Caenorhabditis elegans: one gene and its partner. The protein of the gene in region 1 purifies or fractionates together with the protein of each later gene. This does not show direct contact. Each region holds a gene or a part of one and is shown on either strand. Other genes may lie near its edges.

The links.
Region 2: the proteins of spo-11 (region 1) and cyh-1 fractionate together in Caenorhabditis elegans (co-fractionation; one large-scale study listed by BioGRID). This does not show direct contact.

Annotation. Positions count from the first base shown.
Region 1 is NC_003282.8:11,117,004-11,130,437, forward strand, and holds spo-11 (Meiotic recombination protein spo-11), read right to left. Parts: upstream 7,860-13,434; 5' UTR 7,733-7,859; coding exon 7,685-7,732; intron 7,640-7,684; coding exon 7,470-7,639; intron 7,420-7,469; coding exon 7,185-7,419; intron 7,141-7,184; coding exon 7,044-7,140; intron 6,997-7,043; coding exon 6,769-6,996; intron 6,702-6,768; coding exon 6,611-6,701; intron 6,565-6,610; coding exon 6,156-6,564; 3' UTR 6,130-6,155; downstream 1-6,129. Other genes in the region: imp-2 (Intramembrane protease 2), read right to left, coding at 53-580, 861-1,670, 1,792-1,860; enpl-1 (Endoplasmin homolog), read left to right, coding at 2,448-2,493, 2,711-2,780, 3,629-4,646, 4,721-5,296, 5,363-5,935; SWI/SNF chromatin remodeling complex core catalytic subunit swsn-4, read left to right, coding at 9,071-9,526, 9,574-9,798, 9,846-10,072, 10,120-10,912, 10,961-12,610, 12,655-13,161, 13,207-13,434. UniProt on the Caenorhabditis elegans protein: Required for meiotic recombination. Mediates DNA cleavage that forms the double-strand breaks (DSB) that initiate meiotic recombination.
Region 2 is NC_003280.10:3,499,149-3,516,577, reverse strand, and holds cyh-1 (Cyclin-H), read right to left. Parts: upstream 11,560-17,429; coding exon 11,488-11,559; intron 11,044-11,487; coding exon 10,925-11,043; intron 10,505-10,924; coding exon 10,396-10,504; intron 9,946-10,395; coding exon 9,863-9,945; intron 9,822-9,862; coding exon 9,714-9,821; intron 9,151-9,713; coding exon 8,969-9,150; intron 8,109-8,968; coding exon 7,982-8,108; intron 7,343-7,981; coding exon 7,129-7,342; 3' UTR 6,033-7,128; downstream 1-6,032. Other genes in the region: clec-125 (C-type lectin domain-containing protein), read right to left, coding at 1-45, 382-570; Y49F6B.14 (Ovule protein), read left to right, coding at 1,094-1,615; srz-5 (Serpentine Receptor, class T), read left to right, coding at 1,847-2,005, 2,054-2,151, 2,852-3,377, 3,569-3,640, 3,688-3,888; Y49F6B.19 (TransThyretin-Related family domain), read left to right, coding at 4,238-4,321, 5,489-5,602, 5,910-6,032; Y49F6B.2 (Fcf2 pre-rRNA processing C-terminal domain-containing protein), read right to left, coding at 11,752-11,869, 12,762-12,886, 12,933-13,097, 13,166-13,405, 13,494-13,604; col-71 (Cuticle collagen 71), read left to right, coding at 14,134-14,229, 14,653-15,013, 15,773-16,431; Y49F6B.9 (RBR-type E3 ubiquitin transferase), read left to right, coding at 17,198-17,242, 17,294-17,344.

The DNA of each region.
Region 1 (13,434 bases):
CGAAAACAGAATAACAAGCAGGAATAGCATACTTTAGACTATTTTAAATCATTTAGTTATTTTTCTTGCCGGAGTCTACTTTCTTTCGATTTTCTTCGTTATCCACATGTCTTGATTCATCGTAGTTCCATAAAGCCGAAAGTTCTCCACGGATCACAGCAAGAAGGAGGGGTACGAAAAGACAACACGGCACCAAATAGAGAAGAGCTGGTTGAGCAGCCTTGAAGTGATGCATAACAGCCATAGTGATGAAAAGTCCAGCCATGTAAGCGACGACAGTAACCACGAAGTAGTATCGTCCTTTCAAGGATCCTTGTGGAGCCTTCGACTCGGCAGTCGTTTGAACAACTCTGTAGTCGAACCGACGAAGGAGAGCAATGAAGATTCCAGGGATAACAATGTCTCCAAGCCCAAGCATACTGTGCTTACTGGCTTCCATTATTCCATTTCGATAGATATCTTGAGGGAATTGGAGCAAAATCGGAGCATCAATTCCTTTTGCGACAGATGTCATCACGTCTGTTCCGAAAACCCAGAAGATGTCATAGAAAAAGAGACCAACGAGAAGAAGGGATCCAGCCTGTAAAAAAAATTAATAATGATATTAATTAGTCTTTTCAATGAAATTTTTTTAAAACCTATTTTTGCAAATAACGGTTTGATATTTAAAAGTTTCTTTTAAACAGCTTTAGGCCAAAATTGAGAACTATTTACTTTGTCCAAATATTTCAAGTTAGTTCAAAAATATATTATTACTATCTGGTCAATTGAAATTATTCTTCCATTCAGTAAGCGTAATTGTAGCTTTTTTGTCTTATTACAAAAATATTGCTATATTTTTTAATAATTGTTAAATTTACCTTGAAACTGGCCAAATGAAGACGTTCGATTCCCAAGATTGAGAAGCTCACTCCGATAATATTATTGGTGATCCAGTGTCTTTTCAGCAGGTGAGAAATGAGAATTGGAGAGCACATCAATAAAGCGATGATATCGTAACGATCAAAGTCAATTTTGAAAAGATATTCCGTTTCCTTTTTCTTCGCATCTTCGATATCACCCTCTTCCATTTCCTTATTTCCCTTTTTGAGAGAGAATAAGTACGGAGCATTGAATCTTAAGAAGGATGGAACCAGTGGCATCTTTTTGAGAAACGCGGTAACAAATGGCTTCAACAGAGACGCGAAAGCGTTGACTCCTTCGAAACAGATGAGGAAAGTCAAGAGTTGCATACATTCTGCTTTTTGAATTGTTGGTAAGTTGGTATAAGCGTATGTAGCCGCATTTTGAATTGCTTCTGGAACGCGTTCTTGAGGTATCCTTGACGCCAAGCGGAGCAAGAATGGCTCGGAAGGCCCAGTAGTCGTAGTATTAGCGGTATAGCTGATAATAGTGCTATTGATCTTCTGGACATATTCTTCGGGAACTCGCAGAATTTGGAAGACTCTGGCAACCCAAAGGAAGCGTTCGGCGGCAGGCTTGAAGAAGAGGTAGAGACCGAAGAGAACCAGAGAAGCAGAAATAGGGAATTTCCTGGCTTCTCTCATAGTGATCGAACCTTCAATAAGTCGCTTCTTGTCAATATTCGTCCTTATGTATTGAGCTGAACGAATCGATCCAATGATGATGCAGAGGATAGACATTCCGTAAAGCGCCAACGAGCTTGTAGCCTGAATGAAAAATTGATTTAAAAAAGTTCGCATGGCTATTTATCACATTTAATAAAAACTTCGTTGTAATTTTATACTTGTCCACTTCATTTATTTTACAAAATTTCAGTAAAAATCTCACCTGTTCTTCGAATGTAAAAACTGTGACATTGCTAGCCGTCGGCGGGATTTCGGTCGCTGCTTCAGCCATGTCGCGAAAGGTTTGAATTCCCAACTGGAAAAACTGAGATTAAGAAATGGAGGTATATTGCCTGATTGAGATGAGAAACCGGTTTATGAGACGGATAAACAAGTAAGTTTGCTGAGTAACGATCACAAATTTCACAAATTCTCAAGACAAGTGAGATGATTAATTTCTATAAGGATTAATTTAGATGATCCGAACATTACTTGAGTGACTGTTATAATAGAAAGACTGAAAAATCGTCTTTTAAATTAACATATTCCATATTGCTGGATCCGGCAAACAAAAACAATGTTCCAGGACACTCACTCCACGTGTTCTGAGCTGTCGTCTCGGTCGTTGATTGGCTGATTCCGCCTCTGTTTGCAACTAGTAACGCGCCGCAGTTTGCAGTTTTCAGTGAAGGACAACGTGTTTGCAAGAGACGCAGACACTGTGCGGCACTTGCAAATTGGGGCGGGACTTTTAGGGACACGTCGAGAAGGGGTGAGCCCCGGCGAAAGAAAGCAAACAAGCGGAGAGAAAAGGGGAGTAATTGACCGTTGGAAAGACACCTCATTCCATTTATTCTCGGTCGTTAGGAAGAGACGGCGATGAGATTCCTTTTGGTGGGCTTCGTCGCCCTTCTGGCTGTTTCAGGTATGTCTTTTTATTGATTTTCAGAGCTTAGTGAGCTTTAAATAGAAAACCGTAGTTTTGAAATTGTAAAAAAAATTTTTAAGCTTAAATGTACGCTGAAAATATTAAAACTGTGTTCACAGAATAAAAACATTAGGCTTTATTTTTTCATTCTGTGCATACACGCCACGCAGTTTTTGAATTCACGTTTTTATTCCCAACAATCATCACTTTTCAGCCTTCATTCCAAATGTCTACGCCGAAGATGAAATCGAAGACGCACCAAAGGAAACCAAAGAAGAAACAAGGTAATTTTTGATAATTTGATTATTATGAAAAATTGCAATTTGAAAAAGTCTAGAGAATTTTGAATTGTGTTTCGTACATTTTTTGAACAATTTCGTGAATATGTCGAAATCAGAATCAATAACCTTGTTAATTTTTAATTAGATCTAATATATCAGAAATATCTTTCGAATTCGTTTTTCGCTCTTAATATTGAATAGTTACAGTTTTAGCTGGATTAAGTGTTCCAAAAAGATAAATCACATTTTCTTCCACTTTCCAAATAAATTGACCTGTCACTACGTGTCTGTTCCTTTTCCTGGTTACTCTGAACTATCTCAATATTTGTCTACCCCCGGCCTCAGCCAAAACTTTTGAACGGTACCAGGTCGCGTCAGTCCACTTGGTGACTCTCATCCGTTTTGCACACTATTTTGTACTCCCGCGGAGCACTATTTGATTGAGTCTTGCCCTTTGTCGGAATGCAAACAGACTCGATCTACTGCTAGGTTATCTTATCTTGTTTGTGTTTCCTTTTTCTCAAATAAGAAAAATCGGCTGAAGGGTCAAGAGAGACTAAAAGGGTTATCTCCGACCTAGATAATTTAACGTATGCTTTCCTAGATTCACGTAATAGCCTGTCAAGGACGGAGATACGAATCACAAGATTTAATCTTCTGCTAATGGAAGGTGTAGTATTAGGGATGCCATACACGGATTAGAAGTGAACGCATTATTTTCTAGGGTTTCTGATAAAATTTTGGAAAATTAAAGATCAAAACTGTACAATTAAAACACAATACAGTTTAAAACAATTTAAAAATATAACTAGTTAACAAAAAAAATTGAAATTGATAAATAATATTTTCAGAGAGGAAGATTCGATCAAGCTCGATGGACTATCTGTCTCCCAGATCAAGGAGCTCCGCTCAAAAGCCGAGAAACACGAATTCCAAGCCGAAGTAAACCGAATGATGAAACTTATTATCAACTCTCTCTACAGAAATAAGGAGATTTTCCTCCGTGAGCTTATTTCTAATGCTTCCGATGCTCTCGACAAAATTCGTCTTCTTTCCCTCACCGATCCAGAGCAACTCCGTGAGACTGAAGAGATGTCTGTTAAAATCAAGGCTGATCGTGAAAACCGCCTTCTTCACATTACCGACACAGGAGTTGGTATGACTCGTCAAGATTTGATCAACAATTTGGGAACTATTGCACGCTCTGGAACTTCAGAATTCTTATCCAAACTTATGGACACTGCCACTTCTTCTGACCAGCAACAAGATCTTATTGGACAATTCGGAGTCGGATTCTACGCTGCCTTCCTTGTTGCCGACCGTGTTGTCGTAACCACCAAGAACAACGATGATGATCAGTACATTTGGGAATCTGATTCAGCTAGCTTCACCATCAGCAAAGACCCACGTGGAAACACATTGAAGCGCGGAACTCAGATTACATTGTACCTCAAGGAGGAGGCAGCAGATTTCTTGGAGCCAGATACCCTCAAGAACTTGGTGCACAAGTATTCCCAATTCATCAACTTTGACATTTTCCTCTGGCAATCCAAAACTGAAATGGTGGAAGAAGCAGTTGAAGAGGAACCAGCCACCACTGAAGACGGAGCTGTTGAAGAAGAGAAGGAAGAAAAGAAAACCAAGAAGGTTGAGAAGACCACCTGGGATTGGGAGAAGGTCAACAACGTTAAACCTATTTGGATGCGCAAACCAAATCAGGTCGAAGAAGACGAATACAAGCAATTCTACAAGAGTATCACCAAGGATTCGGAAGAGCCACTGAGTCACGTGCATTTCAGTGCTGAAGGAGAAGTTTCCTTCAGATCTATCCTCTACGTTCCAAAGAAGTCTCCAAATGACATGTTCCAGGTAAGAATATTGAAAGTTATATAGCATTTGTTTTAATTGCGTTTAGTTATTTTCAACTAATAATGTTATTTCAGAACTACGGAAAAGTTATCGAAAACATCAAATTGTACGTTCGTCGTGTCTTCATCACTGACGATTTTGCCGATATGCTTCCAAAGTATCTTTCCTTCATTCGCGGTATCGTTGATTCAGATGATCTCCCACTCAATGTCTCCCGTGAAAACCTCCAACAGCACAAACTTCTCAAGGTTATCAAGAAGAAACTTGTCCGTAAAGTGCTCGACATGCTCAAGAAACTCGACGGAGCCCAATTCGATGACTTCTGGAGCGAGTTCTCTACCAATATCAAGTTGGGAGTTATGGAGGATCCATCCAACCGTATGCGTCTTGCTAAACTTCTCCGCTTCCAGTCTTCTAATGATGCTGACAAAACAACTACTCTTGCCGCCTATGTCGAAAGAATGAAAGAAAAGCAAGACGCCATTTACTACATGGCTGGAACTTCCAGAAAGGAAGTTGAAACTTCTCCATTCGTAGAGAGACTCATCGCTAAGGGATACGAAGTTTTGTTCCTCACCGAAGCTGTTGATGAGTACTGTATTCAAGCTATGCCAGAATATGAATCAAAGAAGTTCCAAAATGTGGCTAAGGTGAGTATTGAAGGCTTTTTTCTTTAGTGGCTATGATGTTTTACCTATCAACATGCTATTTTTCAGGAAGGAGTTACCATCGATGATGGAGAGAAGGCCAAGGAAGCCCACAAGGGTCTTGAAGAGGAGTTCAAGCCACTTACTGACTGGCTCAAGGAAACTGCACTCAAGGATCTGATCGAGAAAGCAGTTGTTTCTCAACGTCTTGTCAAATCACCATCTGCCCTTGTTGCCTCTTCCTACGGATGGTCTGGAAACATGGAGCGCATTATGAAGTCGCAAGCTTATGCTAAGGCAAAGGATCCAACTCAAGACTTCTATGCTACTCAGAAAAAGACATTCGAGATTAACCCACGCCATCCAGTTATCAAGGAGCTTCTCAAGAGAGTCACTGCTTCTGAAGAAGATACCACCGCTGCTTCTACTGCCAAGCTTCTCTTCGAAACTGCCACTCTTCGTTCTGGATTCTCACTTCAAGATCAAGTTGGTTTTGCTGATAGAATCGAAGCTGTCCTTCGCCAATCGCTCGATGTTTCCCAAGATGCTCAAGTTGAAACCGAACAGCATATTGAAGAGGCTGAACCAGAGCCAGAAGCCGCTGAAGAAACAACGATTGAGGAGGAGCACTCTGAGCTCTAAACAATGTAAAACATCTCCCCATTCCATTAGCTTTATGCACTCGATGATATTGTGATAAGATAAGATAACTTGTGTTGTTTTCTATTTATTTAATGTTGTTTCTCCCCCCACTTCTCAGTCTCAGTACTTCTCGAACACTTTACGGTTCCTTTCCCCTTTTGTGGTTGTAATTGCAATATATTGCATTTGAAACTAAAATAAAATCTGTTTCATATTATTTTCAATCACTATCATTATCTATCATATTCTGGAACTTTTCTTCAGCATCCGAATCTATATAGTCATCGTCTTTTGCTTCCCGATCATCATCTGTCGACAGCGAACATTGTGAATCTTCGTGGTACTCGTTTATAATCGTCTCTGGTTGAATCGGAATTTCTTTTTCTATCGACATGACTCTCGGAGCAATCAAGAATCGAGCCATATACTCCTGTCCGCACATATTTATTGATTCAAGTTCCATTTTAAATTTATTCTGAATCATCCAGTCTAATTCTCGTGTCACCACTATTTCTCCGAGTTGAATCGATCGAGGAATCATCTTCTCAATTTTCACAAAATCAGTTCGAACCAATGGAAGACATTGTGATTGATCGATGGTGAAACGATGAAAATCAGTTGGGAAAAGACTGGAAATTTGTTGAAATTATGAAAATAAATATAAAATCGTCTTACCCGATCCATTCAATCGTTGGAACAAAGGCTCCTCGGCCTTCGGCAAATTCTTTCGTAGGTCCATATTTGTAAGTCAAGTAGATTTCAATACCTTAATTGAATTTAAGTATTACTATTTTTAATATAGTTATTTTTTAAATCCTTTATTAAAAATTCACCATGCGGATCAGCGTCAAACAGTCCGTATATTGGAAATTTTCTTTTTTCACTCAACATTTTCAGAACATTTCGAGTTGCAATATCCGGATATCCTTTCGAAGTTGCTAGAATCCCACGTGGAAACATTGCTTGAAAATTTTCATCCATTAATTTTTGAAAAGTTGTGTCTTTCTCAACAACAAGTATGAAATCGGCTTCTGATATTATATTCGAAAATAACAGTGCATCTGAAACACCAGCGTTGATCATTTTTAAATGTTTTTTATTACCTTACCTGTGATCAAAACTTCTTGAACTCTCGCATCAATTACACCAACATTCTCAACTAAAAAAGTAATTGCTCCACGAATTATCCCGCGTCCACAAGAGAGCTGAAATTTGGAAATTATTTCTTGTTTATTAATGTCACACTGACAATGTTTAAATTAGCCCGACTTTCATTCAAAAGCTCACAAATTGATTTTATTGAACTGTCTAAATATTTCTGGTTTCCATAAACTGCTTTATGTTCATAATACAATTCTCTTTTCGTTGATCTTTTGTCATTTTCGAGCAAATCATAAACTTGGTGAAGACAGTGCAAATCTCTATCCAATTTTCCTTTCCTCTTTGCTGTATAACGAAGGCAAAAATGTGATTTACTAGTCGATCTGAAAAAAAAAACAAAATTACTCAAACATTTTCAACAGGAACTTATTACATTCTCAAAGTCAACGATTTCTCTTTGTTATCCATTTGCCTTTTAATATCTGCAAGAGCGAATTCAATTTTTCTCATAGCTTGTTCCTTCGGTGGTATTACTTCATCGTCAAGAAAACTGTCATCAGAATCATCAGAATCCGAATAAATAGTGGATTGTTGAGATTCTACCTGAAAATTGCAAAATTAGATTTGAATCAGCAATATTAAGCTTACAGATCCGGGCTCATGATCGATATTTGGGTTGAAAGAATATTCATACATGCTTTAAACTAATTAGTAGAACAAAAATACAGATAAAATGGAATAAAACTTTGATAAAACTTGGACGCAAGCTAATAAGGCTCCAGCTGCAAGATACAAAAAGTCAATAATCGAAAGGACCATACGTGAAAATAAAGCACGGGTCCCGCAGCGAATCGGAGTAGTACTGTAATTTTCGTCAGATTTTTAATACTCGGCGCCGACGAGTCTCAATGTTCGATCTTCTTTTCTATATTCTTAAATTGACATTTTTCTTCAAAAAATATTTTAAAATGCATTTCTTAAATATAACTCGGTTTTTCTCAATCCCTGCCGAAAAACCACAGCTTAAATGCAATTTTGAAGCGAATGACTGCACCATTCATTTCGTCGCAGTCGAAGAAGATTTTTATAGAATATAAAATTTATGTATAGTATTCATTTTTTTCTTAAACTAGCATTAAATGTTGTTGCGCTGAAATATTTTTGCTATATTAAATTTCCTTCAAATACTTTATTCAAATAGTCATAATGAAGCTCTGATATGGTCTATATCTACCGTAGTCTTCTTGTATTTTCCACTATTCCTTCTTTTCTTGTCTCTTTTCCCATTCATTTGTCCTCTCCGCCGCAATGGCCCGTTTCCAATGCAGGCAGACATGCAGAGTGTCTGCGTCTCTCCATTTCCAATAGTGTTTCTCCTCACTTTGCCTCTCTGGCCAATCGACGCTCGGCGCGTCCACTGCATACATTCAAACCTTCTTCTTCCCCAGCTGCTTAGTCTAACACACAATTTAGACCATTTTTCATGGATTTTCTCGGTTTTCAGACGAATTTCACGATATCAAGCGATACTAGTTATCAGTATACACTTATACGTCGTTGGAAAACGAAAAAACCTCTCAGGATTCATGAAAAGTCGATTCGTACACGTCACTACTTATCGATTTTTTCACAATCTTTAGAAATCGTCAATCTTTTAGTTTTTTCTTAGCTTTTCTTATCTCACTAGCTCACAAAGGGCCCCCGAAGAGTTCTCCGTGTTTTATATGCGCTAGAAATTTTGAATGCGCGCCGAAAGTTGTGTCCTGCAATACACTACATCTCTCTTTCACTTGCACGCTATTTCTCGGTTCCATCAGTCCTACTCTTTTTGCACTAGGATGGATGGAAAGTCTATATATTGTCCTCGGTTTTATTATTCACGCAGGCTTCTTCTGAAATTCGCTTATATACTATTACCGCAATACTTTTTGTTTATCTTGAATGTTCAATTGAATCTAAAATTCTGAATTAATAATTGTTTCAGACTATCAATTTGAAAGAAGATAGTGTATCAAATTGCTGGAATTTTGAAGAATGAGCGGAAGGCCGGCGTTTGAGCAGTTTACTGCTCAACCACCGCAACCAGCCGGTGAAGTTGTTGCTCAGCAAGCTGGTGATGGAGCTCAAGGCCAAGAGCTGACAATTTCCAAACTGGAAAATGCGATAACTTCAATGGAGGAACAAGGTCTTCAGAATGACCATCGACACGCCAAAGCAGTTCTTTTGAAGCAAAAACTCCAATCTGGTCTCCCAGACGCCGTTCCAGGACAGGAAAATGGCGGGAATCAACAAATTACCCCAGCACAACTCAATCAACTGAGGGCTCAAGTGTCAGCCTATCGTCTTTTGGCTCGAAATGAACAAGTACCGGCCAACTTGATTGCGGATGCTGTCATGCTCCGACCAAAAGTTACAACTTTGTTGCCTGAACCTTATGAATATCCAGGAGAGGCAGAGAATGGAGAAAAGTTGCCGTATGATTTGATGAAGGTAGGTAAAATGGATCGAATGAAACTATACAGTCTACTTTTTTACAGATTTTCAATCTCCATCAAATACGCTGTAATCGTCCAACAACAATTTCTGTTCCATCAGGAATTGATCCTGTTGGCATGCTCAAGCAAAGAGAAAATATGATTCAAAACAGAATCGGGCTACGCATGAAGCTACTCAATAACTTACCCGCCGACATTCCAGATCACATGAAATTGAAAGCAGAAATCGAATTGCGTGCTTTACGTCTTGTCAATCTCCAAACTCAGGTAATTTCTGGATTCGAAGAGTATTTTAACCAATAAGCTGTTTTTAGGTGCGCAGTGAAGTGATGGCTTGTCTCAAAAGAGACACAACTCTCGAAACTGCACTCAATCCATATGCGTATCGACGCACAAAGCGGCAATCTTTACGCGAAGCTCGTGTTACCGAAAAGCTTGAGAAGCAACAAAAGATGGAGCAAGAAAGAAAGAGAAGGCAGAAGCATACTGATTTGATGCAAGCTATCATTCAGCATGGAAAGGAATTCAAGGAGTATCATAGGTGAGATTGTATTTAGAAAGTTCTCCTACTAATTAAATTATTTTCAGAAACAATCTTCTGAAAATGGCAAAGTCTCGCAAGGCAGTCATGACATATCATCAAAACAATGAACGTGAACGCAAGAAGGACGAGATTCGAAATGAAAAACTTCGTATGCAAAAACTGATGCAAGAAGATGAAGAAGGATATCGTGCTCTTCTTGATGAGAAGAAAGATCAACGTCTTGTGTATCTTCTTCAACAAACCGATGAGTACGTCGACTCTCTGTGCTCACTTGTTCGTCAACATCAAAATACCGAAAAGAAAAAGAAGAAGGAAGATAAGAAAATTGAAAAAGGAAATCAAATGGATGAGGAAGCCAGGGTTCACGTTCGGGAGAGAAGCACTGGAAAAGCGCTTACTGGAGATCAAGCTCCAAAGACTGAAGAAATTGAGTTTTGGCTTGAAACTCATCCAGAATATGAGATAGTTCCACGTGATCAGCTTAGTGATGACGAAGAAGAGGAAGAGGAAGAGGCTCCAGTGGAACCAGAAGAAGAGAAGGATGATCAGTACGCTGGAATGGATGAAGAGACAAAAGCTAAGATGATCCTCGAGAAGGCACGTAACGAAGAGGATGAATATGATCAGAAAACGAAAAAGCAAATGGCTGATTACTATGCAACTGCTCACAAAATCAAAGAAAAGGTTGTCAAGCAACACACAACGATGGGTGGTGGTGATCCGAATCTTCTGCTGAAACCGTATCAGATTAAGGGATTGGAATGGATGGTCTCCTTATACAACAACAATCTGAACGGTATCCTCGCCGACGAAATGGGTCTAGGAAAAACTATTCAGGTAGGAATTTGGGAAATGAGGAAATATTAATCAATTTTTAATTTTCAGACAATCTCGTTGGTGACGTATTTGATGGAAGTCAAACAAAACAATGGACCATATCTTGTCATCGTACCGCTCTCCACGTTGTCCAATTGGCAGAACGAATTTGCTAAATGGGCTCCATCTGTAACCACTATCATCTATAAAGGAACTAAAGATGCTCGTCGTCGTGTTGAAGGACAAATCAGAAAAGGAGCGTTCAACGTTTTGATGACAACATATGAATATGTGATCAAAGAGAAAGCACTGCTTGGTAAAATCCGTTGGAAGTATATGATAATCGACGAAGGACATCGTTTGAAGAATCACAATTGTAAATTGACATTGATGTTGAACGGATTCTTCCATGCTCAGCATCGTTTACTTCTTACTGGTACTCCACTTCAGAACAAACTTCCTGAGCTATGGGCTCTGCTGAACTTCTTACTTCCATCGATCTTCTCATCTTGTGGAACTTTCGAACAATGGTTCAATGCTCCATTTGCGACTACAGGAGAGAAAGTAGAACTGAATCAAGAAGAGACGATGCTCATCATCAGAAGACTGCACAAGGTTCTTCGTCCATTCTTGCTGAGACGTCTCAAAAAGGAAGTAGAATCACAGCTTCCTGACAAGACCGAGTATGTCATCAAGTGTGACCAGTCTGCTTTGCAAAAGGTTATTTATCGTCATATGCAGAAAGGATTGCTTCTCGACGCTAAAATGTCATCTGGAGCACGTTCGTTGATGAACACTGTCGTGCATCTTCGCAAGCTTTGCAATCACCCGTTCCTTTTCCCTAATATTGAAGATTCCTGCCGTGCATACTGGAAGGTCAACGAAGTCAATGGAACCGATCTAATGCGTGTTGCTGGAAAGTTGGAACTTCTCGATCGTATTCTACCGAAACTAAAGGCAACAGGTCATCGAATTCTGATGTTCTTCCAGATGACGTCTATGATGAACATTTTCGAAGACTTTTTGAATTTCCGAAGATACACGTACCTCCGTTTAGACGGTTCAACTAAACCAGACGAGCGTGGAGATCTGCTGACACAGTTTAATGCTCCTAACAGTGATTTGTTCCTTTTCATGCTTTCTACAAGAGCTGGAGGTCTTGGACTCAATTTGCAAACTGCTGATACTGTTATTATCTTTGATTCGGATTGGAATCCTCATCAGGATATGCAGGCTCAAGATCGTGCACATCGTATCGGACAAAAGAAAGAAGTTCGAGTTCTTCGTCTCATCACAGCTAACTCTGTTGAAGAGAAAATTCTTGCCGCTGCTCGCTACAAGTTGAATGTCGACGAGAAAGTTATTCAAGCAGGAAAGTTCGATCAACGTTCAACTGGAGCTGAAAGAAAGCAAATGCTCGAACAAATTATTCAAGCAGACGGAGAAGAGGAAGAAGAAGAGGAAGTTCCAGATGATGAAACTGTGAATCAGATGGTTGCTCGCTCAGAGGAAGAATTTAATATCTTCCAATCGATGGATATTGATCGTCGTCGTGAAGAAGCTAATCAACTTCACCGTAAACCCCGTCTTCTAGAAGAACATGAAATTCCAGACGATATTCTCAAATTGTCATTCGATTATGAGGAAATGGAACGAGCCAGAGAGGAAGGTCGTGAAGTTGTTGATCAAACTCCTAATCAGAGAAGACGCAGAAGAGAGGTAAGGAATATATAAGAGAATTTACAATATTAATTCATTTTCAGGTCGACTACTCTTCCGATCTTTTGTCCGATGAACAGTTCATGAAACAAGTTGAGGAAGTTGAGGATGAAAATAATCAAGCTGTGGCTGAACGTAAAAAGCAAAGAAAACGTAAAATGGCTGGATTGGACGAGAATGATGATTCTATGGATGACGTTGTTCTACAACACAAGAAGAAGAAGACGGATCCAGAATTGGCAGAAAAAATCAATGAAATGCTTGATGTTATTCTAGAATATAAAAATGAGGATGGAGAACTCATCGCGGATGTATTCCAGACACTTCCAACTCGTAAAGAACTGCCGGACTATTATCAAGTGATTTCCAAACCAATGGATTTCGATCGAATCAACAAAAAGATCGAAACAGGACGTTATACGGTTATGGAAGAATTGAATGATGATATGAATTTGCTTGTGAACAATGCTCAAACATACAACGAAGAAGGCAGTGAGATTTATGTTAGCTCTGAAACAATCGGAAAATTGTGGAAGGAACAATACGATAAGGTATGATTGATTTTTGAAATTTCGAAGTTTACATTACTTTTTCAGTTTATGAATCCACCGAAGCCAGTAGAAGAACCAGTCAAGAAGAAAGAACCTTCAACCCCATCAACTTCATCTTCTCGTCCCTCAACCAGTGGCACTCCAAGTGTGTCAGATCTTCAGCGGACACAACAGGCAACTGCTCAGCAAATGTTAATGCTTATGACACATATGCAATCACTTCCACCCGCACAGGCTCAGCAGTTTCAACAGGCATTGATGACACAGACCGGT
Region 2 (17,429 bases), on another chromosome or scaffold:
GGTGGTCAGGTCTACACAAGGTCCATTTCCTCGATTTCGGGAACCCTGAACAGGTCCAACTTTGACTGTTTCAATTTTTTTTTATTTTCAAGATATTTTCCGTACAATTTTGAGCATTTTTGCAATTTGAAGTTTTCGGATATCTCTTACCGTTGCAGAGTTACATACGCTCAAAGTTTTGAGCGAGAGAGCGTGGGGGCAAGGGAGACGCAGAGACACGTCTGCGTCTCCCCTCCCCTTCTGTCTCTCGCTCTAAAATTTTTAAACTCTCATAACTCCTTAACGAGTACAGCTATCAAAAAAGTTCCAAATAGTAAAATGTGTCAAATTTTCTGCTTAACAAGTTGAAAGTTTTGAATTTTTTAAAAAACTAAAACTAACCGGAAGTCTCCAATAATAAGCATTTTCCACGTCATTCGTGTACCCATCATACTCCTCCGACACATAAAAATGCGCCTGAACATCCAAACAATTGCCTCCGGAGCTTCTGGGTCGAAACATACAGAATATGGGTGAAAACTCGAGTGTTAATAGGAAAAATATTGACAGATAAGGAGAAAATAACGTCATGGTTTCCGGAATTATGACCCGGTTTTCAGGAAATGATGCTTTTATATGGGGCACCCAGTTTTATGATGTGTAAGTTGAAAAAATTTTCGGAGAGTGGAAAAGGGAGGCACAAAAAATGTTTTTGCAACGTACTCACTTTTTTGACAGGAATTGCACAAAACATTTCATACATTTCGTAAAAATCTAGCTTTCAAAAAATTTTAAAATTTTAAACCGTAATATCTAAGCGAAGAGTTAAGATAGAAAAAAGATGTCATTTAGCAAATTGTTAAGCACAAAATTTGACACATTTTACTATTTGGAACTTTTTCGATAGCTCTACTCGTTAAGGAGTTATGAGCGTTTGAAGCTTGCTGTGCCAGAGATAGAGGGGGAGAGGAGACGCAGAGTCATGTCTGCGTCTCCCCTCCCCTTCTATCTCTCGTCCCTAAACTTTGAGCGCCTGTAACTCTGAAACGGTAAGAGATATTAGAAAACTTCAAATTACAAAAATGTTCAACATTTTACGGTGAATATTTTGGAAATGAAAAAAAAATTTAAAAAGTCAAAATTTGGACCTGCTCAGGGTTCCCGAAATCGTGGAAATGGGCCTTGTGTAGACCTGACCACCTACTACTCTGTGGAAGAAGATTACGACGGAAAATCTGACGATGAAGGAAGTAAGTACTGGATGGTGGAGGATTTGGAGCAGACCTTGAAGCTCCGATCTGATGCTCAGGAAGATCAGATGCTGGTGGGGAAGATCCAGAAGGATCAGAACTCAAGTGGCTCCAAATCTGGAAAAGTGCTGGTTAATCTGAAGCTCCAAGCTGATAGTTCTCAAATATCAAATGATCAGAATCTGGTTGGAAAGATCCAGAAGGACCAGAAGATTCAAGCTGATGAAAGCACCCGAAAATCTAAAGATCTGAGCTTAGACCTAAGTGATTCAAAAACTGGAATTGCTTTGGTCAAGCTCCAAGCTGATGGCTCCCAGAGCTCGGAGGACCAGAAAAAAAACTGGTTGGGAAGATTCAGAAGGATCAGAATGCAGAATCTTACGTAGAGTTCAAATACAACACTTAATGAATTGTTTTAAAAAGATTTTCTTTGAATTTTAGAAAAAAAAACCAATTCTTAATTTTTAACCATTGAAAAATGTTTTTCTTGGAATTTGGCGTTTTGGAGGGGAAAAAGGGCAGGTGAAAATTTTAACCACACAGGTATATCACTTATTTTTCATATTTTCTTCTCAGAAAACCAAACGCCAGGCTTCTATATTTCTTAGCCTTATATTATGAGCCTTCCCGAAATTTTTAGCACAATCTACGAGATCTCCGTATGTGCAGTTGAAGGACTTATGTACCTTTATGTAGTACTGTCAATTCCATGCCACGTGGCACTGTTCCCGTTTTATTGTTTTGCCTATTTTACGAATAGTTTGCGGGAAAATAACGTGAGTTGCGCTAATTTTATTTTTAAAAATAAAATAAAACAGTTTCAGTCCCCGACTGCACCGATAATTGTCCATTTTCACCGGCTTATTTGTGTAATGCTTGTCATTTTATTGCTCTGCTTATTTGAGATGTTCTACGGGTTCAAGTACTAGATTTTAGTGTTTTACAAAGTTTTATAGACAAAGTTTTATTTTCAAAATATTCACCGTAAAATTTAGAATATTTTTGTAAAAGGAAGTTTTATGATATCTCTAACCACCGCAGAGATACAGGGGTTTAAAGTTTTGTGCAAGAGATAGTGCAAGAGATAGAGGGAGAGGGGAGACGCAGACAGCGAGACACTCTGACCCTCTGCGTCTCCCCTCCCCCTCTGTCTCTCGCACTGCAATTTTCAAACGCTCATAACTCCTTAACCAGTAGAGATATCAAAAAAGTTCCAAATAGTAAAATGTGTCAAATTGTCTGCTTAACATTTTGTCAGTTGACAACATTCTTCTATCTCTATCCATTTTCCAGATTTTCAGACGTATATTGCCACTTTGTAGTTTTGATTCTAGTTTCTAAATATTCAGCGTAAAATTTTAAATATTTTTGCAGAAGGAAGTTTTTTGATATCTCTAACCACTACAGAGATACAGGCGCTCAAAGTTTAGAGCGAGAGAGCCTGCGGGGAGGAGAGACGCAGACAGCGAGACACTCTGACTCTCTACGTCTCCCCTCCCCCTCTATCTCTCGCACCGCAATTTTCAAACGCTCATAACTCCTCAGCGAATGGAGCTATCAAAAAAGTTCCAAATAGTGAAATGTGTGAAATTTTCTGCTAAACAACAAGAAGCCTGTTCCAGAATCATGAACATGTTGGAATTGGATTTGTTCGACGTTTTATATCACTACTACTTCATATCCTGCGTCATTTTCCCAGTTTTCAACATTTTGCTCACCTTACTTGCAGTACAGCGGTTTTTTATTTATTATTCGGATAGATTCGGCAAAAAATGGATTTTAAATCAAAAAAATTGGTCCTGGATCATAATTCTGCTATATCTCGGATTTTTCGCTGCAAACCTTGGCGTTGGAATTTTAGAAACGGATTTTCGATTTTCCTATTCAAATTTGCCATTTTTGGGTAATGGTTCTTGGGATTTTGGGAATGAAAGCTATCTGGAGCCTGGATATAATTTTCCGTTTTCTTTTGATAGTTTATATATGACAATATATTACTATTTGGAAGTTATTGCTACGTTATCTGCATTTTTATATGTTCCAATTTTTATAAGTCTTCGGAAAAAATCGAATATAGCGTCAGTGGTGGAAAATCAGACGGATAGGCTTATTATGTACCAGGCAATCACAATTTGTGTTTCGAAGTTTGTAAGTCGTATTTTTCTCAACTTTAACCTTTTCTCTTGTGAATTTTATAGCAAAATTTGAATTCCTGAGCATCAAGTTAGTCTACTCCAAAATTTTCAGACCGATAGCTCAATGTTACGTAAAATAAGGCGCCCTCGAAGGCACGTAGGCACGTAGGCACTGAAAACTCTTAAAATTGTGCTATTTTTCAGGTAACCTTCCCGTTTATTGTATTTAACGGGGTAATGATCATCGATCAGGGATATTATGGATTTTTGAAGCTGGTTTGTAATTTTTTAATTTTTTTTTCGAAATTCTCTCGAATTTTCAGGCCTGCATAATGCTCAGTGTGATAAATTTTGCGACAACCCCGCTTTTAATTCAAATTTCTTATATTTATTGTAACAAGCGGAATGTGAAAATCATGCAGTCACTGCTCACATTCAAATGGTTCCTTTTTGGAATTATCAGAGCTTTGAAGCGAAAATTGCGGATTGAGAGGGACTATAATAATGTTGTTGCACCATTATGAAGTGCCTACGTGCCTACGTGCCTACGTGCTTACGTGCCTACGTGCCTACGTGCCTACGTGCCTACGTGCCTACGTGCCTACGTGCCTACGTGCCTACGAGCCTACGTGCCTACGTGCCTACGTGCCTACGTGCCTACGTGCCTACGTACCTACGTGCCTACGTGCCTACATTCCTAAACCAAGTGCTCAAAAATCACAATTTGTCCACATGAATCATGGTTCAAAATATATGCAAAAATGTGGGAATACCAAAATTTATGACCACTTTTTATGAAAATTCCTCACACTATAAAAGAAATATCCAATTTTTGAATTTTCAGTCAGTTTTCAGGATTTCCAGCCCTGAAAAATGTCCCAAACTACTGTAATTCTTGCCATCTTGGCACTGATAGTGGTTCTATCAAATGCTTCAATTGCGACAGCTCTACTGAAGGTAAAAAACCGAATTTTTAAGATTTTTGTAGTTTCGCAAGTTTTAATCAAAATTTGGTTACGAAATTCGAATTCCCCGCTATCAATTTAGTCTATCCCTAAGTTTTCGGCTCAAAATCTCAAAATTCCGTCAAATCCGGTGTTTTGGGGTACTGTAGCCCGTGTTTGCGTACTCTAGGAGCTACCGTAACCCGAAAATTTCAAAATTGAGCTAGAAACTCCAACTTTTTGTGTTTCTACCCAGAATTTTACGAGGAATCCGAATTTTGTAGTGAAAATTTAAAAATTCGTAGCATAAGGTGATTTTCTGGCTGAAAACTCAATTTTCTATAGTTCAAAATATACTTATGAAATTTTAATAGTGAAAATCGGATTCCCCGCTATGAATTTAGTCTACCACAAAATTTTCAGCTCAAAATCTCAAAATTCCGTCAAATCCGGTGTTTCTGGGGTACTGTCGTCGGTGTTTGCGTACTCTTGGAGCTACCGTAACTCTGAAAATTTCAAAATTACTCTAGAATCTCCAACTTTTTGCGTTCCGACCCAGAATTTGACAAGAAATCCGAATATTGTCATGAAATTCCTATAATTCGTTGCGTAAAATGATTTTCTAACTGAAAACCTATTTTTTCTAGTTTTCAAAATTTTTTGTGTAGAAATTCGAGCTCCCCATCATCTAATTAGTCTACCCCATAATTTTCAGCTCAAAATCTCAAAATTCCGTCAAATCCGGTGTTTCTGGGGTACTGTCGTCGGTGTTTGCGTACTCTTGGAGCTACCGTAACTCTGAAAATTTCAAAATTACTCTAGAATCTCCAACTTTTTGCGTTCCGACCCAGAATTTGACAAGAAATCCGAATATTGTCATGAAATTCCTATAATTCGTTGCGTAAAATGATTTTCTAACTGAAAACCTATTTTTTCTAGTTTTCAAAATTTTTTATGTAGAAATTCGAGCTCCCCGTCATCTAATTAGTCTACCCCATAATTTTCAGCTCAAAATCTCCAAATTCCGTCAAATCTGGTGTTTTGGGGTACTGTAGTCGGTGTTTGCGTACTCTCGGCGCTACCGTAACCCGAAAATTTCAAAATTGCGCTAGAAACTTCAACTTTTCGTTTTCTAGACCAGAATTTCACGGAGAATTCGAATTTCGGCTTCTTTTTCCAGGTTGGCGACTCATTTCTGATCGAAGACGCCGTAGGCTCCTCGGCTCTCAAACGAACCGTCGCCGCTGGCAATCAGATAATGTCGTTCGGAAGAGGGAGAAATCGTGGAAAATGGGTGAGGGTCGAGTGGTGGATTCATCGAATTTCAAGCTTTTCCCAAATGGATCCGTATTGATTCGGCATGCCAAGATTGCCGATTCTGGAACTTATCAGAAGGATCCTAATGTGGGGAATTTTTGTAAAAAAGTTTCGATTTTTTTAAAGAAAAAAAAATCGATTTTACTGGAAAATTGCTCAAAATTTTGGGAATTTTGACACGATTTTCAGAAAAATCGCAAATTTTTTAGCAAAATTTCCTACTTTTTTGGAGGAGAGGGGCATAATTATTTTTTTAAAAATACAATAAAAATTACAATTTTCAGCCAATGATCATAATAATAATGGAGAAATGGGATACGCGCCGCCAATTCTCATCATTCAAGTGCAAAATTAATGATAATTATCGATTTTTTGAGGGAAAAAACAATAAATTAATAAATAATTGAGCATTTTCATAGGGAAATTAGTTACACAGTAAAAATGATAAAAATGATAAAATTATACCCGATAATATAAGAGAATTGAGGGATTTTTTTGAACAAAATAGGGGGAAATGCTCCAGAAATTTCGATAAAATGAGCTATAAGAAATTGGAATTTTTTTTTCGAAAAATACCGATTTTTAAATATAATTTTTTGTTTAAAAAATTCGATTTTTTTAAAAATCGAATTTATTGAACAAAATGTAGTTTTTTTTTTAGAAATTTCAACTTTTTTCAAATATTTTTTTTGGTTTTTAAAAAATCGATAATTTTTCGGATTTTTTTAAATTTTTTTAAAACAATTTCATTTTTCATATGAAAAAAATACTGAATTTTTGTAAGAAAAAAATCGATAGTTTTATGCAAATTTTTGTGGCTTTTCGTTAATTTTCTTCTGGAACTCGTCAAATTTTTCATATTTTTCAGTAAAAAATCAGAAAATTTGCCCATTTTTTAAATAAAAACTACTGAACAACTGTTGAAAAATAGCAGATAAAAGTGGAAAAATTCCGAAAAATTTTTTCGGTGATTTTCAGCTTTCAGGCAATTTTTAGGCTTATTTTTAAGACAAAAAACACTTTTTTTGGGATTTTTAAACATTTTTAAAGCTCAAAAACGAAAATTTTTAATTTTTAATTCAAAATACACATTTTTTAGATTTTTCGAATTTTTAGGGAAAAAATAAATAAAAAACAAACTTTTTTGGAATTTTTAAAATTCGAAAAATAAAAATTTCGATTTTTAAAATTTTTAGAGACTAGAAACGAAATTTTTACGATGTTTCTAATTTTTGCAAATTAAAAACGAATTTTTTGAAATGAAAAACAAAAAATTTCGAATTTTTCAAAATGTTCAGGCCAACAGACTTTTTTTTTTTTAATTTTCAGAAATTAAAAACGATTTTTTTTGAAATTTTTTAAAGTCGAAATACGGAAATTTCGAATTTTTAAATTTTTAGAGATTAAAATCCAATTTTTTAGATTATTTTAGACCAAAAAATGTTAAAAATTGCTCATTTTGTAGCAGAATTTCTGGAGCAAGGCGAAAAAAAAAAGCAAAAATCAATTAATTTCGTCATCAGAATCAACTGGCTGCTCGGCGAGCTCTCCAGGCATCAATCCAACACCTCCACCAGCCAACCATTGCTCTTTTCGTCGTTCATCAAGTGCTGGAATCAATGCTTGAATCCGTGCCAGCTGGCTTTTGTGATTCTCCCGTTCTTGCTCTGTCACTGCTACGAAATTTCGATCGACTTCTCGCATTATTTGATTGACTCTGGAAAATTTTTGGATTTTTTAGGAGAAAAATTGATTAATATCCAAATTTCAGCGGTTTTTTAAACTAAAAATTAATTTTTTTTTTCAAAAATCGCCGGAGCTTTGAAAAAAAAACCTTTTAGCCAAAAATTAACCGATTTTTCACTTTTTTCGAGCGGTTTTTATGCGAAAAATGGTTTTTTTTCGGATTTTTCTCGCAATTTTACATATTTTTACGCGAAAAATCGGGTTTTCAATAGATTTTTTTCAAAAATTTTCATTAAAATTGCCCGAATTTTTGAGCTTAAGCTTCATTTTTCAGGTTTCTAGCAAATAAAAATGCAAATTTTTGGGGAAAAAATACACATTTTAAGGCTAAAAACCCAATTTTGCTGTCAAAAAATGGCGATTTTTTACTATTTTTAGTGAAAAATTGTTTTTGTTGTCAATTTTTACCACTAAAAACGGTATTTTTTTTCCACTTAAAAACGATTTTTATGTCATTTTCGTTAGTTTTTCTCTGAAAAAATCCAAAATTTGGCTCAAAAATTGTATTTTTCCTGTTTTTTTTTGTGTTTTGAGTCAAATTTTTGCCATTTTTCGACAATTTCCAGCGATTTTCATTGAAAATGTGCAATTTTCCGGTGCTCTTCACTACCTCGTAACCGTCTTTTCGAGCTTTTCCAAATCCTCTGGACGAGCATCACGATGAGCCCACGAGTCCTCTTCGATTCCGATAAGTTTCCGAAGAAACTCGCGTAGAATCTCGTCGGATTTGCCTGAAACTAGTGCAAAATTGCTGAATTTTTCTATCGGAAATTGAGATTTTCGGATCTTAAATCTGAAATTCGAGTTCTCCGTGAAATTCTGCTATAGCACACGAAAAGTTGGAGTTTCTAGCGCAATTTTGAAATTTCCAGGGTTACTGTAGCCCCAAGAGTACGCAAACACGGAACACCAGATTTAACGGAATTTTGAGATTTTGAGCTGAAATTTTTGTGTTAGACTAATTCGATGACGGGGAGCTCGAATTTTTACACAAAAATTTTGGCAAAAATTTTGAAAACTAGAAAATCACTTTACGCAACGAATTTTAGGAATTTTACAGCGAAATTCGGATTTCCTGTCAAATTCCGCTCTAAAAGAAGAACATTTGGAGTTTCTAGCGCAATTTTGAAATTTCCAGGGTTACTGTAGCCCCAAGAGTACGCAAACACGGGCTACAGTACCCCAAAACACCAGATTTAACGGAATTTTGAGATTTTGAGCTGAAATTTTTGTGTTAGACTAATTCGATGACGGGGAGCTCGAATTTTTACACAAAAATTTTGGCAAAAATTTTGAAAACTAGAAAATCACTTTACGCAACGAATTTTAGGAATTTTACAGCGAAATTCGGATTTCCTGTCAAATTCCGCTCTAAAAGAAGAACATTTGGAGTTTCTAGCGCAATTTTGAAATTTCCAGGGTTACTGTAGCCCCGAGAGTACGCAAACACGGGCTACAGTAACCCAAAACACCGAATTTGACGGGATTTTGAGATTTTTAGCAGAAACTTATAGGGTAGACTAATACGATGACGGGGAATTCGAATTTTTACACAAAAACTCCCAAAATTTTCGATTTCTCGAGATCTTCGCCGTACCCTGAGCATGGAGCCCGAAATTAATGGCGGCCAGTGCAATCTGTGACGGTGGATAGAGGAGAAGCACGTCGGTTTGTAGTGCATTCTGGAAGAATCTCATAGAATCGCGGCGGATTGATTCGAGATCGAAATTTAGAAGAAGCATTCGGGTCTTCATATCCATTAGATGGCCTTCGTATGGCCTGAAAAATGGCGATTTTTAGGCTTTTCTAGTCTGAAAAATAAGATTTTTTTGGTTTTTGATCGGCTGAAAATTTGGATTTTTTCCGGGTTTTCGGCTTAAAAATGAAATTTTTTCGGGCTTTTTTCAGCTGAAAAATGGAAATTTTTTTTTAGGTTTTTTGCCTGAAAAATGAGATTTATAGGCTTTTCTAGTCTGAAAATTGTCATTTTTAGGGTTGTTTTAAGCTGGAAAATGTGATTTTTTTGGCTTTTTCGTATGCAAATTGAGATTTTTCACATTTTCTAGTGGAAATCTACGAAATTTTCAGATTTTTCTCAAAAATTGAACCAAGATCGAGGTTTTCTGGGGTATTTTGTAAGAAAAAAAAGGATTTTATAGCGCATTTTCAGCTCTAAATTCTTATTTTTATGAAATTGAATTTTTTCGGACAAAAATTGGATTTTTAAGCAATTTTGAGGTCTCGGAGCCGGAAAAATGCCAATTTTCTCCGTTTTTCGTGAAATTTTCGAATTTTTCCAGTATTTTCAGCGGAAATTGCTGGAAAATCCCGATTTTCCGTACCTATACGGGCAATGTACAGTCAAATTATAGTCGAGAATCTTCATAAGCTCCGGCTCCAGCTTCAAAATCCGTTCGGCATTTTGTCGAGGTTCTCCAACGCTGTAACTTCTGATAATGAGTAGCTGCCAGCGGCGATTATCAGGACTTACTTCATATTCTTCACGAAATCTTCGATTGTAATGTAGAATTCGTCGATTTTCATTGCCAAGTAGAAGCAAGCCATCATTACCATCTGAAATTAAGATTTTTAATGGAAAATTGATGGAAAATGTTGGAAATTCGGGGAATTTTGGGCAAAAATCGGCAGAAAATTGAGTTTTCTCAGTTTAAAAATCAAAATTTTAGCGATTTTTGAGTGAAAATGAGTTGAAATCCAAGTTTTTGCGTTAAAAAAATCAAAATTTTGCCGATTTTTGCGTTTAAAACAAAATATTTGGCAATTTTTACACAAAATTGAGTCGAAAAATAGGTTTTTGCGTTTAAAAGCCGAAAATTAGTCAATTTTACACCAAAAATCGCAGAATTTTTTCGTTTAAAACTAAAAAAAATTCGGAAGTTTGTATGAAAAAATTGAATTTTTGACAATTTTTGGGCAAAAATGGCCCGAAAAATAGGTTTTTTCGTTTAAAAATCAAAAATTCGGCGATTTTGACTAATTTTCAGCTAAAAATTCAATTTTTACCCTAATCGACGTGTCTGATGGCACCCAGACAAGAAAAGCCCGCTTGAAAAACGCCAAGGCTGTCCATTTCACTGATGGCCATATGTGTGGGCGGAATTTGTCGGCGAATCTGGAAAAATTTTGGTATTTGAGTGGGAAAATTGAAAATTTCAGGTTTTTTCGTGTGAAAATCGTTTTCTTTTGGGGTTTTCTCGACTAAAAAACTAAAAAAAAAATTTTTTTCAGAAAAAATAGCCAAAATTGTGAATTTTCTGCATTTTTTCTGAACTTCTATCGGAAAAATGGCAAAAATTCCGATTTTCTCAATTTTTCATAGAAAATAACCGAAATTCACAATTTTTGGTGCAAAAAATGCAGAAAATTGAGAAAAAATCGCATTTTTCCACATTTTCCGGTACAAAATTGTTTTTTTCATGGTTTTTTCGGATTTTTTATGCTAAAAATCCAATTTTAGCCGGAATTTTCGCGTTTTTCATGAAATTTTGACGGGAATTCTCCGATTTTTCGGTGAAATCCAGCAAATTCTAACTTCAAAGCAGCATCCTCAATTGATCTTTGCATTCTGAGCTCCTCTTCAGGTGTCACAAAGAGCTCCAACTCGTCCGGCTGCATTACTGACTCGTATTTTTGACGGAATTTTATGTTTATCTGCAAAAAAATTGGGCATTTTTAATTTTTTGAGGAAAAATTCAGGTTTTTTCAGTTTTTTTTTTAGGAAAAAGCGAAAAAAAATCCATTTTTCCGGAAAAAAAACGGTGGAATTCTCAGATTTTTCAGTAAAATTACAGGAATTTCTACTTTTTTTCAATTTTTCTCAGAAAAAAAAAACAAAAAAATAAATTTTTCCGGAAAAAACGTTGAAATTTCTAACTTTTCCTGAATTTTTCAGAGAAAATGAAATAAATGCTCAATTTTTCGAATTTTTAAATAAAAAATGCCGAAATTCTTAATTTTTCCAATAAAAATGACTAAATTTTCAACTTTTTCCGAATTTTTTAAATAAAAAATGCCGAAATTGTTAATTTTCCGTGTTTTAAGTGAAAATTTTGCTGTTTTTAGCCTATTTTCCATAAAAAATTCCAATTTTTCTACCTCCAAACGCATTGCGGCCAACTTTTCCGGTGTATACGTCCATTCCCGTTTTTGTGTGCTCGTCGCGTACATTTCTGAATTTTTGCCATTTTTTTGGCTGAAATTTTCGGTAAAAAAAAAGGTAATTCTGGGTGAAAACCAGTGAAAATTAGTGAAAAATGGGCAAAAAATCGACAAAATAACAAAAAAACGAGTCTATAACAAGAAAATTCCAACAAAAACCAGAAAAAAAATGTGAAAATTCAAAAAATTAACAAAAAAAAATTATTTCTTCTTATTCTTCATTTTTGATTCTCTCTGTTGCTTGTGAGATTTGCGATTTCCGAATTTTTGGAATGCTCCACGTCGTTTAGATTGCTCTTTTTGGCGAATTTCAGCGTATCTGGAAGGAAAATATGGAAAAATTGGAGCTTTTTGATATAAAAATCGATTTTTTCGGAGGAAAAATGTGATTTTTGAGCTATTTTCACACAATTTAACCGTTTGTTTTGCTCAAAATCCGAAAAAATTGAGTTTTTTTTTATTGAAAAATCGATTTTTGGGGGGAAAACCTGTGCTTTTTTCAGAGATTTTAGCGGATTTTTCAGGAAAAAATACTGAAATTCTCAAAATTTTCGATTATTTTCCGGAAAAAAACGTTGAAATTATCGTTTTTTTGGTCAAAAATCGTGTTTTCAGTTAAAAGTTTGCGGTTTTTCGCCATTTTTGGACAAAATTCGGCGAAATTTTCTGAAAATTCGGCTTTTTTTTGCTCCTAAAATCAAATTTTTCGGTAAAAATCTTGGAAAATGTTTTTTTTATTAAAAAAAAACCATATTGTAACGAAAATTCACCATTTTCCATCAATTTTAGCCAATTTTGAGCTCCAAAATCATAATTTTACGTTAAAAAACGTAAAAAACTGTCCATTTCCGGGTTTTTTCGACGAAATTTCGTCGTTTCAAGTGAAAATCGATCAATTTTCAGCATTTTTTTGGGGTTTTCGAGTCCAAAATCATAATTTTACGTTAAAAAAACGCAAAAACTGCAGATTTACAGGATTTTCGGCAAAAATTCGGCGTTTTGAGTGAAAATCGGTCAATTTCTACCGTTTTTAGCGAGTTTTTGCATTAAAAATATCAATTTCCAGGATTTTTGGCAAAATTTCGCCGTTTTGGGTGAAAATCGGCCAATTTTTATCCTTTTTAGCTCATTTTTGCTCTAAAAATCACGATTTTAACGTTAAAAACGCAAAAACTTGAATTTTTTCACAAAAATTCTTGATTTTCCCGTACTTTTTCTTGGCTTTGCTCAACGATTCCTCATTATGCAAAATCTCGTCGACCATCGTCTTTTTTCGCTCTTTTCGCACCATTCTACTCGAATAAAAGTCTTCTGGAGCGTCAACGACTCGTCCAACCTGAAAAATCTCGGATTTTTTGGGAATTTTTTAAATTTTCTCGAACTTGGAAGTATTTCGGCAGTACAGCCCGGTCATTTCGACGATAATGAGCCAATGGATCGAGAGTTGATCTCATTTGAAGGAATTCCAAATCTCGTTTGTGCTCATCGGTGAGCTCCGTCGCTGGAAGGTTGAACCAAGCGGATCCTTTGGTTTTTTCGCGTTCTGACTGGAAAAATAGCGATTTTTATTGGATTTTGAGCGATTTTAATCGAATTTTCATCGATTTCAACGCACTTTCTTCAGCCTGGCGGCCGCATTCCGGCCTAAAAGCCTATTTTGAGGCTGATGATCGCCTTCAAACTTCGGCCCGACAACTGACTTTTCCAGAAGCTCCTGCAAGTCCTTATCCATCTCATATGGCTCCAAATAGGATGTTCCGAGCAGGTCAACTGCCTCAAAAGCTCCTTCTTTTGGCGCTTCTTCACGTACGGCTCTGTCAACGACGAAATCATCGAATTCCTCGGCGACAGGCTTCTGAAAATCGATTTTTTTGGTGCTTTTCTGGGAAATTTTCGGTTTTTTTCGCTAAAAATTTGCAAAAATCGCCGTTTTTTGTGATTACTTGTTGCTTTTGCTTCTTTTTTGGAATTTCCTCGTCGGAATCCGAATCTTCGCTGCTTGAAACGTCGGGATTCTGCTGTTTTCGTAGCTTTTTGAAGTAGAGCGCAGACATTTTGAGCTGAAAATCATTCAATTTCAATTTTTATTCGAAAAAACTGGCGAAAAAGAGCGAAAACCGACGAAAACCCGGTGAAAACCTTCGAAATAAATAAATTAAATTAACCATATTCGCAATGGAGCGCGGATGCAACTCGTGGCCTAGAAAACTCCAACTCGGCCCCGAAGAGGAAAAACTCCAAATTTTCAAGATTTTCTCGGGAAATTGATGGGTTTTCGGGTTTTTTTGAGGGAATTTCGAGCAGAATCGATGCTTTTTAAGCTCCAAGCTTCAGAAATTGCGAAAAATCGGCAAATTTCAGCCAAATTCCAGCTTCAATGACAAAAAACTTTATAGAAAAGCTTCTAATTATATCGTTCATTATCATCTTTGACGTCTTTAGGGAACACTTTTTTCCAGCATTTTCCGCCGAAAATCCGATAGACCACACACTCTGCGTCTCCACGGCGTTACGTTATCTCTCGCATGCGAACCAACTTTTTCACCGATTTACCGGTCGTTGGCGATTTTCGGCGGCTTTAAAATGCGCAACGCAGGCGGTGATAAGCCATTCTCCACACCCGTTTTGCTTCGCGAAATGGGCTTGAAGACGCACGTTGATGATGATCCGAAGACTAAGGTGAGCGGTCTATTTCGAGTAGGCCTAATAGGCTTTCTAGGCCGTATAGGCTTGCCTTGTAGGTCCTCTAGGCGCCTGCCTTGTGGGTCTTCTAGGCCTTCTAGGCGCCTGCCTTGTAGGCTTTCTTGGCGCCTACCTTGTAAGCTTTCTAGGCCATCTGGGCGCCTGCCTTGTAGGCTTTTTAGGCGCCTGTTTTGTAGGCCTTGTAGGCCTTCTAGGTGCCTGCCTTGTAGGCGCTCTAGGCCTTCTAGGTGCCTATCCTTTAGGCCTTCTAGGCGCCTACCCTTTAGGCCTTCTAGACGACTGCTTTGGAGGCTTTCTAGGCCATTTAGGCGCCTACCTTAGAGGCCTTCTAGGCGCCTGCCTTGTAGGCTTTCTAGGCCTTCTAAGCTTATAAAAACTAAAAATCCATATCATTTCCAGGCCTACCGCCTTATCGGCTACGCCGCCGTCACCTTCTCCACAGTCTCGGTGATCTGTTTCTGTGTCACAATGCCAGTTGTCTTCACCTACGTCCAATCGGTAAAACGTCAGATGTCCCATGAGATGGCCACGTGCAACGTCAATGCTCGTCAGATTTTCGATGACGTTGCTGCTCTGCGAGCCGGCTTCCCATTCGCACAGGCAGGCAACCGTACCGCCCGTCAAGCTGGATACGATGTGCATCCGAGCAAGCCAACGCCTGTCGGATATAGTGGTGGAGATGCGGCTGCGGCGGAGGTGAAGGGAAATAGCCCGGCGGCCGCCTACGAGGATAAGCCGTTTGTTGCTGTTGGAGTTGAAGGTGAGGTTTAAGCCGTGTAGGCCTTGTAGGCGTTGTAGGCGCCTGCCTTCTAGGCCCTGTAGGCTTTGTAGGCTGCTTCGTAGGCGCCTGCCTTGTAGGCGATCTAGGCCTTCTAGGCGCCTGCATTGTAGGCTTTCTATGTGCCTGCCTTGTAGGTTTTGTAGGTCCCTGTCTAGTAGGCCTAGCAGGCGCCTACTTTATAGGCATTGTAGACGCCTGGCTAGAAGGCCTTCTAGGCATCTGCCCTGTATGCGCCTGCCTTGTATGCCTTGCATGCTTTTTAGCCGCCTGCCTTGTAGGCTTTCTAGGCGCCTTCCTTGTAGGCATTGTAGGCTTTTTAGGCGCCTGCCTTGTAGGTCTCGTAGGCCCTGTAGGCGCATGCCTAGTAAGCCTTTTAGGCGCCTGCCTCGTACGCTTTCTAGGCACATTCCTTGTAGGCTTTCTAGGCGCCTGCTTTGTAAACCTTGTAGGCTTTGGAGCCGCCTGCCTTGTAGGCGTTTTAGGCTTTAGAGCCGCCTGCCTTGTAGGCGTTGTAGGCTCGCAGGCGCCTGAGTTGTAGGCTTTCTAGGCGCCTGCCTTGTAGGCCTTTTAGACAGGCGAAAAAAAGAAAAAACCGAATTTTTCATACAGCTTCAGGCTTTAGAAAATGTGAAAAATTGTCACATAAGCTCCGCCCACTTAATGGTCAAAATGGAGTTTTTGCGATGGAAAATCCGATTTTTTCAAAATTTTCACTCCAAACAAAATAAAAAATTCCAGAAGGACCACACACCGCCACCACGGGCTCTGACTCCGAAGGAACGTGCCACGACTGCTGCCTTCCAGGCCCACCAGGCCCACCAGGACCTCCAGGCCGTCCAGGACCAAACGGAAAGGCCGGCGCCAACGGACTCAACGGAAACCCAGGAAGACCACCAGAGGCTCCATGTGAGCCAGTAACCCCACCACCATGCCCACCATGCCCAGCAGGACCAAAGGGAGCCCCTGGACAAGCCGGGTACCCGGGAGCCGACGGGCAACCTGGATCGCAGGGAGACAATGGAGAGAAGGGATCAGACGGTGCTGCTGGAGAGAAAGGACGTCCAGGACCACTTGGAAAGATCGGAGAGCCGGGAGCAACTGGAGAGACGGGAGAGAACGCTGAGAATAGTGAGCCGACTCCAGGACCACAAGGACCACCGGGAGCCATTGGACCAGTTGGATCACGTGGAACTCCAGGACATCCTGGAGAAGATGGAGAAGCTGGAGCTCCGGGAGCACCTGGAGAGAATGGAACTGACGGAGAGAATGGAGAAGATGGAGTTCCTGGAGTTCCAGGACACGATGGAAAAGCCGGAAGAGCTGGAGAACGGGGAATTTGTCCAAAGTATTGCGCCAAGGATGGAGGAATCTTCTTTGAGGATGGAACCCGGCGTTAGATGGAGATTTTTGGATTTGAAAAAAACTATTTATTTGCTCACTTTTGCTTCAATAAAACCATTTTTATCGAAAATCCCTCGTTTTAACACTCCCATTAACCAATTTATGGTTATGGTGGGAAACTGTGGCTCGCCTGACACATTTGATTGCACTTTTAAATGCCTTTTCCCACTTTTCCGTTGAAAATTCAAATTTTAGGCCGAAACTCGGTTTTTTCGCATTTTTTACTCGGTTTTAGTGGGATAATAGAGCGTTTAAATTATTTTCAACATATTTTACGGGAAAAAAATCGCAGAAAACTCGAAAATCGGGTTTTTAATTGAAAAATACATTTAAATGTGTTCGAGCGTGTTTTTACCGGTTTTTTCGCATTTTTACTTGATTTTAGTGAAAATTTCAATAATTTTCAGCATTTTTAAACATTTTTCAACGAAAATTTCAAAAAAAATCGCGAAAAACAATAAAAACCTGGAAAAATCAATAAATTTTAATTTAAAAGCATTTAAAACATTTTAAAATTTAAAATTTGTTCGAACGATGCTCCGAAATAACGCCTCTGCGTGTTGTTTAGCGTAAATCACGGCGCGAATTAAAATTAATTTCGAACGAAAATCTTTTAATTTCATCATTTTTCCGCCGATTTTCTCCATTTTTTCCACAATTCCTCATTTTTTATCAATAATCTCTTTATTATCAGCTGATCAATGACCTACACACTGTTATCAGTCGCTTATTTGCACCTAATTATTGATTTTCAGGCCAAAAATGCAGTCGGAAGCGAGAAAACTATGGATCAGTAAAAGAAGTCTTGTAAGAAATTTTCTTTTGATTGTTTTAATATTAATTTTTGTAAATTTTCAGTCCGAAGAAGGTCCGTCGGTTGAAATTGGCTTCGAAGCGCTCAAATTTCAGGTTTTTCGAGTTTTTTCTAGAGGAAAATTGAGCGAAAATTGCAATTCCCGGCAAAAAAAACGCGGATTTTACGACTTTTTAATGA